Linked DNA regions of Drosophila melanogaster. The protein of the gene in region 1 interacts with the protein of each later gene in a pairwise test. Each region holds a gene or a part of one and is shown on either strand. Other genes may lie near its edges.

Region 1 (4,258 bases):
AGGCTATGTGGCCACGCGTTGGTACCGGGCACCTGAAATAATGCTCAATTGGATGCACTACGACCAAACAGTGGACATCTGGTCGGTGGGCTGCATCATGGCCGAACTAATTACCAGACGAACCCTCTTCCCAGGCACCGACCATATTCACCAGCTAAACCTGATTATGGAGATGTTGGGCACGCCACCCGCCGAATTTTTGAAGAAGATCTCATCGGAAAGTGCACGTTCCTACATCCAGTCACTTCCGCCTATGAAGGGACGAAGTTTTAAAAATGTTTTTAAGAACGCCAATCCGCTGGCCATTGATTTGCTGGAAAAGATGTTGGAGCTAGATGCCGAAAAGCGGATCACAGCCGAGGAGGCTCTTTCCCATCCATATCTGGAGAAGTATGCGGAGCCCAGCGTCGAGCAGACCTCACCACCATACGATCACAGCTTCGAGGATATGGATTTGCCCGTAGACAAATGGAAGGAATTGATCTACAAGGAGGTCACCAACTTTAAGCCCCCACCATCGTATGCTCAGGTTCTAAAGGATGTAAAGTGAACACAAACCATCAAGAATTTAAAGTATTACATAGGCCAATTTATTTGTTATAGCCTTTATGTTCCAACCATGTCTTTTGTACTCAAATTTATCAATTCTTAGTGTTAACTTTTTATTTTGTTTTTTTGCTGCTTACTGCTTATTTAACAAAAAATTTGTTTTATAAAAACATCAAGTTATTCAACTAAAAACCTTATTTTTGTCACCTCTTGGGCAGGATCTTTGGGTCTATAGCATATGTGTGTATCTCCGGTCATACAGATGACTGAATCGAACAAGTTTAGTGTTCTGTCAGTCGAATGTGCACTGATAGATAAGGTGTTGAGAAAAGATAAGAGTTTAGCGGGTGACTAAATGCAAGCTCAGTTTTCTTTCTGTTTCCTTTCGTAGAAGACATATTTTTGCACATTTAATCCAGAATGCCGGAGTTCGTGAGAGTGGCAATTAACGAAAGCCTTTGGGAGTTCCCGGATATATACGAGTTCGTTCGTTTTCTGGGTGGCGGTTCCTTTGGCCAGGTGGCTAAGGTGAGACTACGAGGCACTGAAAATTACTTCGCTATGAAAAGGCTTATGCGCCCATTCGAGAGGGAGGAGGATGCTAAGGGTACCTATCGCGAGATCCGTCTGCTGAAGCACATGAATCATCGAAATGTTATCAGCCTGCTGAACGTCTTCCATCCACCAGCGCACAACATGATGGAATTTCAGCAGGTTTATTTGGTGACTCACCTGATGGACGCGGATTTGCACAGGTACTCGCGTTCGAAAAGGATGAGCGATCAAGAGATTAGGATAATCCTTTACCAAATACTGCGGGGACTGAAGTACATACATAGTGCCGGGGTTGTTCATCGAGACTTAAAGCCCTGCAATATCGCAGTTAATGGAAATAGCGAGGTGCGCATACTTGACTTCGGTTTATCCCGTATGTGCGCAGACAAAATGACGGACCATGTTGGAACTATGTGGTATCTAGCTCCGGAAATTATCTTTTTAAGGGGTCAATACACAAAGGCAATTGACGTGTGGTCGGTTGGTTGCATTCTGGCGGAACTTATCACGGATCGTGTCCTGTTTCGCGGTGAAAACTATGTAAGCCAAATACGATGTCTGATTAACATAATGGGTACTCCGACGAGGGAGTTTATCACCGGGATAAGCATGGAACGTTCGCGTAATTACCTGGAGGGGTACCCGTTACGACAAAGGTGCGATTTTCATCACCTGTTTATGGGTTACGATGTCCAGGCCATCGATTTGATGGAAAAAATGCTCGAAATGGTACCCGAAAAACGTATCACAGCTGCGGAAGCAATGCTCCATCCATACCTTCGGGATCTTATTGAGCCACACCATCATGCCGAAGACACCGCACCAGTCTATGATCAGAACTTCGAAAACATGGTACTGCCTGTAAAATGCTGGAAAGAACTTGTTTCCCACGAGATTCGGAACTTCAGACCTGACCAACTTGATTTGCATTTTTAAAATGCCGTAGTTAATGTAGCAGAAGTAATAAATTTTAAATTAATTAAATGAACAAATTTTTCACAAAATTAAATTAAAAACTGGATATTCATAAATTTAAACATTGAAATCATTGAAATACCCCTATTAAATCTTCCGGATCTGGCAGCGCTGGCGACAGCTGATTTTGCCTTACCGGCTTATTTTATTTTGCATTCGATAATAAAAATAATGTTGAGCCTGCGAAGTGTATTAAAACACTGCCTTTCGGCAAAGAAAACGTGTAGCAGAAACATCTCCGCGCTGTACATAACCGGCGATAAAGCGAACGAAAACTATGTGACTCTGCAGCCGTACATGGACTTCAATAAAACCTTTGGAGAGCGGCAATTTTTGGAGCAGAGCATCTCCAGCCGGGGATTGGACATTCGTTTGGAAACTGTGCTCAGCAAGTACGAGAAGTATAAAACACATCACGCTCAGCTGTCCAAGGTGGCGGAGGAACGCGAAAGGGTGACCAAGCGCCTAAAGGAGCTAACGAAATCTGGTAGTAGTGCGGTTCAGCTGGAGGAGTTGAAAGAGCATGGGAAATCGTTGCGCAATGAGCTAAAGGCTCTGAAGCAGACTCTCTATCCCATAGAGGATGACTTTATTCATGACTATCTGCACTTGCCCAACCTTCTGCATGTCCAGTGCCCTGTTGGAGGGGAGGAAAAGCTTCTCTATCGTCATGGGATACCCAAATCAGAAAATAAGACTACATCCCACTTGGCACGCCAGGAACTTGTACATTTTGTAGACAACAATCGTTACTACTTGATGGAGCAGGCTGCTCTTTTTGACGTAAATGCCATGCAATCCCTGGCCCGCTATTTCGTCAACCACGGGCACTTCATTCAAACCGCCAATCCGGACTTTGTGCGTTGCGTTCTCCTGGAAGCAAATGCGACACCCTTATCCGACTATCATCTGGTTCAGGAAGAGCACCTGCAAAACAAGATCAATACCGCCTATTTGACTGGAGGTGCGTCCTTCGAGAGCTACCTTGGTGCCATGACCAAGCTGTGCGTGTATCCCTCGGTGCTGCCCCTTCGGTATGTCTGCTGTGGTCGGAGCTACAACAGAGCGGAAGCGGATTTGTATGGGCCCATTCCTAGTCTTTATACGGCGACACAAACGAATGCGGTACAAATCTTTGTGGCAACGCAAACGGACAACGAAGCGGACTCCCAACTAGAGCATATTCTCAATCTGGCAACTGATTTCTACAAAGCACTGGACATACCATTCAGGATTTCTTATGCAACAGCAGCAGATCTAACTCCGGCGGAGAGTATCCGGGCAGTCATCGAAGTTTATGCCCCCTCACTGCAGCGCTATGTGTGTGTGGGACGTATCAGCAACTACGGAGACTTTGTCTCTAAGCGAATCCTTTTTAGCACGCGGCGGGAGAAGCACTATGATTTCTTGCACATGGTGGGCGGACCAGTGCTCTACACCTCGCGACTGATAGCAGCTCTTGTTGAGCATGGCGTGCGCTTGGAAGACTGCAAACTTTTGGGCTCTATTAGTCAGAAACCCGTTCATCAGCAGGATCTACAGCAGTTTAAGGACCTTTTCACGTAAAAAACGATCGGTGTTTAGTTTCTTGTTGTTTGTTCTTAGGCCTAACGATAAGTAAAAGTTAAGTTTTACATACAATTATTTACAATCTAATGTAATCTCATGGTCAGCAGTGCGTTGAGCCCATACAGAGAAGGCTAGTCGCTGCACTTGATCTGCAGCTTGGGAAATCTCTTGCGGAAATTTTCACATTTAGGCGTGGTGAAGGTAAAGACATTTCTGGAGTCGTCCAACACGGAATTGGGACTGGAACGGGGAATCCTCAGCACATACGTGGTGTTGTACTTCAGTTTGCTGAACTCCAGCGGGTCTTTCTGCAATCAAAATGAATTTAATGTATCTAACATACGGCAGCATTCGCTTGTTTGATCTTTGTATTTTGGCAAACACCTATGGCATGACCCGATTCTATTCATCAATATTGGGAAAATTTTGATTGGCATTTGACCACGTACTGCCAATTGGAAAGACGTGTTTTCCGTGTCAAATAGAGGAAACACGATTGCGCCTTGTTAAACAATACCCCATGGTCAACGATGTTCCACTAATTTGCCCTTGCCCGGTGGTCCGGCCAATCGGCACGAAGTATTCCGACATGTGGCTCGTGGCTCCCATC
Region 2 (5,059 bases), on another chromosome or scaffold:
GCGGGCGTCGATTGGCGTTCGAATCGTATTCACAATCATATCAAGAATGGTTGATGAGTGGGGGGGGGGGGGAGGTCTTAGTTTCCACTTTTATGCCCATCCCGCAGGCATTTCCAAGTACAGTGGTGGGCGCAAGGATAGTGCACTTTTAATTTCTTAAAAAATGATGGGATTATACGTTTAGATTAAGCTCGATAAAGCCTTGTATTGTTTTATGAAAACGCATGTTTTCGCAAGTACGAGGATGAGCCATATGTTTCGTTATCACGTATTGTATTCCATCCAGTTCCTAGGATCTTAAACTTAAAAATTTCTCGTCATTTAAGTGAATGCGATATGGCGCTATAATTATATTAATTTCCTCAAGAACTGAATGTTATTTTCTTGGGTAGTCGGCTGCAATTCCCGGACTATTGGCCTGCATGAAAACAAACAACGTATTCGTATTCGTGCCGTTGCCAAAGAGTTTTCCCTAGAACCGCCTGTTTTTCTTTTCAAAAGGCAAACAATACTCAATTCGACCCAACAGACGACCCGCACTCTGACCCTCGGAAAAGTAGAGAGGTTTCCCCCGGCATATTGGCTTGATTAATTAAGACTACATATGTACGCTGACGTCGTGTGACACCAGGCTTCCGGGGTTTGACTCATTATTCGAAACGGGTTATGAGAGCGTGAAAAACGCATAGTCTCGAGTTATGATTCAGGATTAATCGCCCATGACTGGAGTATTCATTCTACGCACAAATTCGATCTATAGGCATATTTATTCGAATGAGTCCCTCTCGCAAAAGTTTTGCTTTTTTTTTCAGTTCCTCGCTTCGAATGGATGCCGCCCATTTATTATCCAGAAAATTGCCAGAGGAAACTATGCAACCACACACACAAACACACACACACATGCACACGACCCAGGAACCGAAAAGTTTTTCATTTCAAAAATGCCGGAGAGGTGCGTATGGCCCGAAATCAGGGCTACGAATAGACTCGATTCATCTGTAGGAGCTTATTCATTGTATTCCCAATATATTCATGTAACCTCTGGCACACCGAATTTTTTAAGCATCCAAGACGTATCGGTCAAGGTATCAATTAAGGAGGGGAACTTCTTACTTCATTGCAAGTGATAAGTCTTGAATTGTGTTAGCAATGCAGATAACTTTCCCCATGCTGCTCATGACTTATATTCCACCAGACTGATGCAAAGACTAGTCTAATGCAAGTATGTATGTTCTGGCTGTCGGAATGCTCAAGTATGTAGCTAAAACGTCGAACCATTTTGGGCAATGGTATCCCTGGTCTAGTATCTGAAACTTTGAAAAACGGCAACAACAGCAACATGACCCCGTCAGAATATCGACGAAAGAGCGAAAGAGTCGAGTGGATTGGGGCGGAATGGGGCGGGAAGGGCGGTTAAGAAACAACACCGAATAGGAACAATGTAAACAAAGCGCCCATTCCACACGCAAATTACCAAATTACCCGATGATGAAGTCAATTGTTGTATACAATAAAAATGTGTGTTGTTGCTGCTGTTGCTGCTCTGAGATTCTTTTGTTTTCCTTTTTGAAAGTTTTTCTAGTTCGCCTGCTGTTTTTTTTTTTTTTCTCAATATTTTGTACGCTTGGCTGGCGGCGACTGCCTTCGGGCCCACTTTTTGGGTGGGAACCATGTCGGTGTATGGATGCGGAGAATTCAGTTTTAGTACAAATTCGGCGCAGGAACGAGCAACGCGTCTTTTGCCGAACACAAAGTGCCGCGCGATGTTCCCACCAAAATCCGGACCAACTCCGCATCCGATCTCGATAGCGCTGCCTCTTTCGGATCCCTATGCTACTGATCACATGGCGGATCAGGACGCGGTGTTGCCGGTACCCCTTTCCGACAGCCTGGACCTGGACGTGGACGTGGACCTCAATCTGAATATGAATCTTAATCTCAATGTAGACGACAGGCGCCAGGTGCTCTTCGAGGGCTATTCGGACGAGCTGCTGACCATCGCCTGGGTGGCCTGCATAGTGTTCATCATTGTGGGCGTTCCCGGAAATTTACTGACCATAGTGGCCCTGTCGCGAGGTCGTCAAACCCGCAACTCCACGGCCATATTCATAATCAATTTGTCCTGCTCGGATCTACTCTTTGGCTGCTTTAATCTGCCATTGGCCGCGTCCACTTTCAAGGAGCGGGCGTGGACCCATAGTGATCTGCTGTGCAGGTTGTTTCCGATGCTGCGCTACGGCTTGCTGGCGGTGTCCCTGCTCTCCGTGTCGCTGATCACCATCAACCGGTACATCATTATCGCCCATCCCAGGCAGTATCCAAGGTGAGAATGGGCCTGCCCATATCGGCATGTCCTGCCTAAATCTTGAAGGGTATTCAGAGTGCCCAACTCTTCCTCTTGGTGCTTATCTGTTTATTATGATACGCATGGTAACCTACCACTTAATCTGAGAAAAAAACCCACACATATGTTATTGTGTTTCTGAACTTATAAACTTTTGAACTTGTTTATAAAAAGGAAAATGTATGGCTTCTCGTAGATGTTTTTTAATTAACTAAAAAAGAGAACATTACTTGCTAGAGGCAAATGCTATAGAAAAGGTCGGTTCAGCGATCTCAATATTTTCGTAATAAACAATTAAACTGAACGGAAATTAATATCTTATAAAATATGAACTACAATATTTCTGGAGAAATAAATAACTAGCTAGTTTTTATTTTCGTGAGCTACGGATATCTTAAAATAATATATTTGAATACAATGAGCATATATTATTATCAAATTAGACATGGTACAAAATACAATTCCCACTGGTTCAAATCCGTTCTTCCAGAATTTACCAGCGACGATATTTGGCTTTGATGGTAGCCGGCACATGGATCACCACGTTTTCCATAATGATACCCACCTGGCGGGGCGTATGGGGTATCTTTGGCTTGGACGTCAGCATCGGCTCGTGTTCCATCATGCATGATCGGTATGGTAGATCCCCCAAGGAGTTCCTCTTCATCGCCGCCTTCATGGTGCCGTGCATCTGCATCGTGATCTGTTATGCCCGAATCTTCCTGCTGGTGCGAAAGGCGGCCATTCGCGCGGGAACCGCTGGCAAGACCAATGTCAGCGATGTGACTCCCAGCTCCGCGCCGCAGCATCAGATTCAAGCCATGGCCACACCAAAGAAGCCGGAGAAGGTGACCACGTCCAGCGGCGAGGCGAACGAACCGATCGCAGGACGACCCTTTGTGGTGGAGGAAAACTTAGCGTATATCGATGACAATGCTTCGACGGACAGTCTGCCGATCTCGTACAGCATACGGAGGAGGGATCAGGACCAGCAGCCACCGCCTGTTGATGCCAATGTGGTGCTCAAGGAGCGGGAGAAGGAAAGGGATCGGGATCAGGAAAAGGTCAGCCTGGGACGCAGTCAAACGCAACTAGAGATGGGCAAAACCCATGGGTGAGTAGCTGTTGAAGGCTTCTTTGCCATTTCACTCAACCTTAATGCGTAAATCCATTCCAGAAAGAACCCTATCACTACATCCCTGCGCACCACCTCCTTCACACGGTTTAGCCCGCGGAAATCCCACTACGCCTCCATGGGCAATACCTCAAATGCATCCTCTATTTACCCGGGAAGGATGAGTGCCAAGGACCGGAGATTGCTTAAGATGATACTGGTAATCTTCGTGTGGTTTGTAATTTGTTATTTGCCCATCACGGTGGCCAAAATATGGAAAAGCGCCACCGAGGTGCACTGGTTCAACATTGCTGGCTATCTACTTATCTACTTGACCACCTGCATCAACCCGCTGATCTACGTGTTGATGAGCTCCGAATACCGAAGAGCTTACTGGAACTTGCTGCGCTGCCATGGCTCTCCAGATACCCAGAAGCAGCGGAATCAGGCCAATGCAAAGCGAAAGCACCTGGAGTCCAATCGGCAGGTGAAGGCCACGACGTGACTCCGACAGATGCCTTAACACCTTCATCGTCCTCCGTCCTAGCGGGATATGATATATGTGTGCCATATGGTAGTAATACGATGGGAGAAGTACCCAAATGTCATGTTGAATGATCTGCGGTAAGAAAAAATTCCTTGATCCCCTGGTGATTATAGTGCCTCCAAAAAAGATTTCTAGTCACATGATCCGGCCGGTCGTCCCTTCCACGCACACACGAAAACACAGATCACCCATATATATCTATATCTATATCTATATAATGTAGGAACTCCAGAAGTATATTGCATTTTATACCAAATGACTTTAATATCTGGTTTACATTTGAATTCCATGTTTAAGAACAATCGATGTTTGTTTAAATTTTGTTTTTTTTTTCTTTGCTTGTCGCTAATTATTGTACCAATACATAATAGATATATCCTTATATGGATACGCCCTTTCTATGCCCCCAATAAATGCTTCGAATAATTGATATATGTAGTTACGTTGTTCTCGTCCACTGTCGTGGGGGCAATACAATAGTGTATAGTGTAATCATAAGTAGAGCTATAGCTTAACGCTATTATTATCAATATACATATTGTATATGTCTGCGTATATGCGTACGAAACTTGGACTACTTAAGACTAGTAACACAACTAAATCATTCAATATTACTGCTTCGCCCGGTTCGGTAATGATTCTATCGGTTCCAATAAACGTGAATCGATGTAACTCCGATTCCGATTCCGACCCGCATTCATATCTATATAGGCTATTTATATGTATGTATGGGTGTATATCGTATATGGATCAAATAATTCATAATTGCGATTGCGAGCTTAATAAAAAGGTGGCCCCGGTCCCGGTCCAGCCCCCATTATAGTTCGATGTCCAGTCCTACCCCTTTTCCTTTCCCACCGACTTCCACTTACAAATCTACTCCCATTCGAATTGCCCCAACCCCTCCACCGAATAACATCACACACGGCCTCAGACTGACTCAAGGTGCTCCGATATCTCCAGGATGGGGCTCTCGCTGAGCGGCTTTACCAGCGACTGCCAATTGGGCGTGAAAAGGCTGAGCACCGGCGTCGATGTCTGCGGAGGACACAAG

What was found.
Region 2: the proteins of Slimp (region 1) and CG4313 interact in a two-hybrid assay, tested with the Drosophila melanogaster proteins (one large-scale study listed by BioGRID).

The regions. Positions count from the first base shown.
Region 1 is NT_033777.3:24,146,894-24,151,151, reverse strand, and holds Slimp (Seryl-tRNA synthetase-like insect mitochondrial protein), read left to right. Parts: upstream 1-2,184; 5' UTR 2,185-2,250; coding exon 2,251-3,645; 3' UTR 3,646-3,716; downstream 3,717-4,258. Other genes in the region: p38a MAP kinase, read left to right, coding at 1-550; p38c MAP kinase, read left to right, coding at 970-2,040; Kal1 (kallmann syndrome 1), read right to left, coding at 3,780-3,956. UniProt on the Drosophila melanogaster protein: Essential protein which may play a role in mitochondrial morphogenesis and function. Has transfer RNA (tRNA)-binding activity and can bind tRNA(Ser) but does not have serine--tRNA ligase activity and does not bind ATP.
Region 2 is NC_004354.4:2,050,983-2,056,041, forward strand, and holds CG4313 (uncharacterized protein), read left to right. Parts: upstream 1-1,701; 5' UTR 1,702-1,763; coding exon 1,764-2,323; intron 2,324-2,834; coding exon 2,835-3,458; intron 3,459-3,521; coding exon 3,522-3,963; 3' UTR 3,964-4,432; downstream 4,433-5,059. Other genes in the region: Sik2 (Salt-inducible kinase 2), read right to left, coding at 4,936-5,043.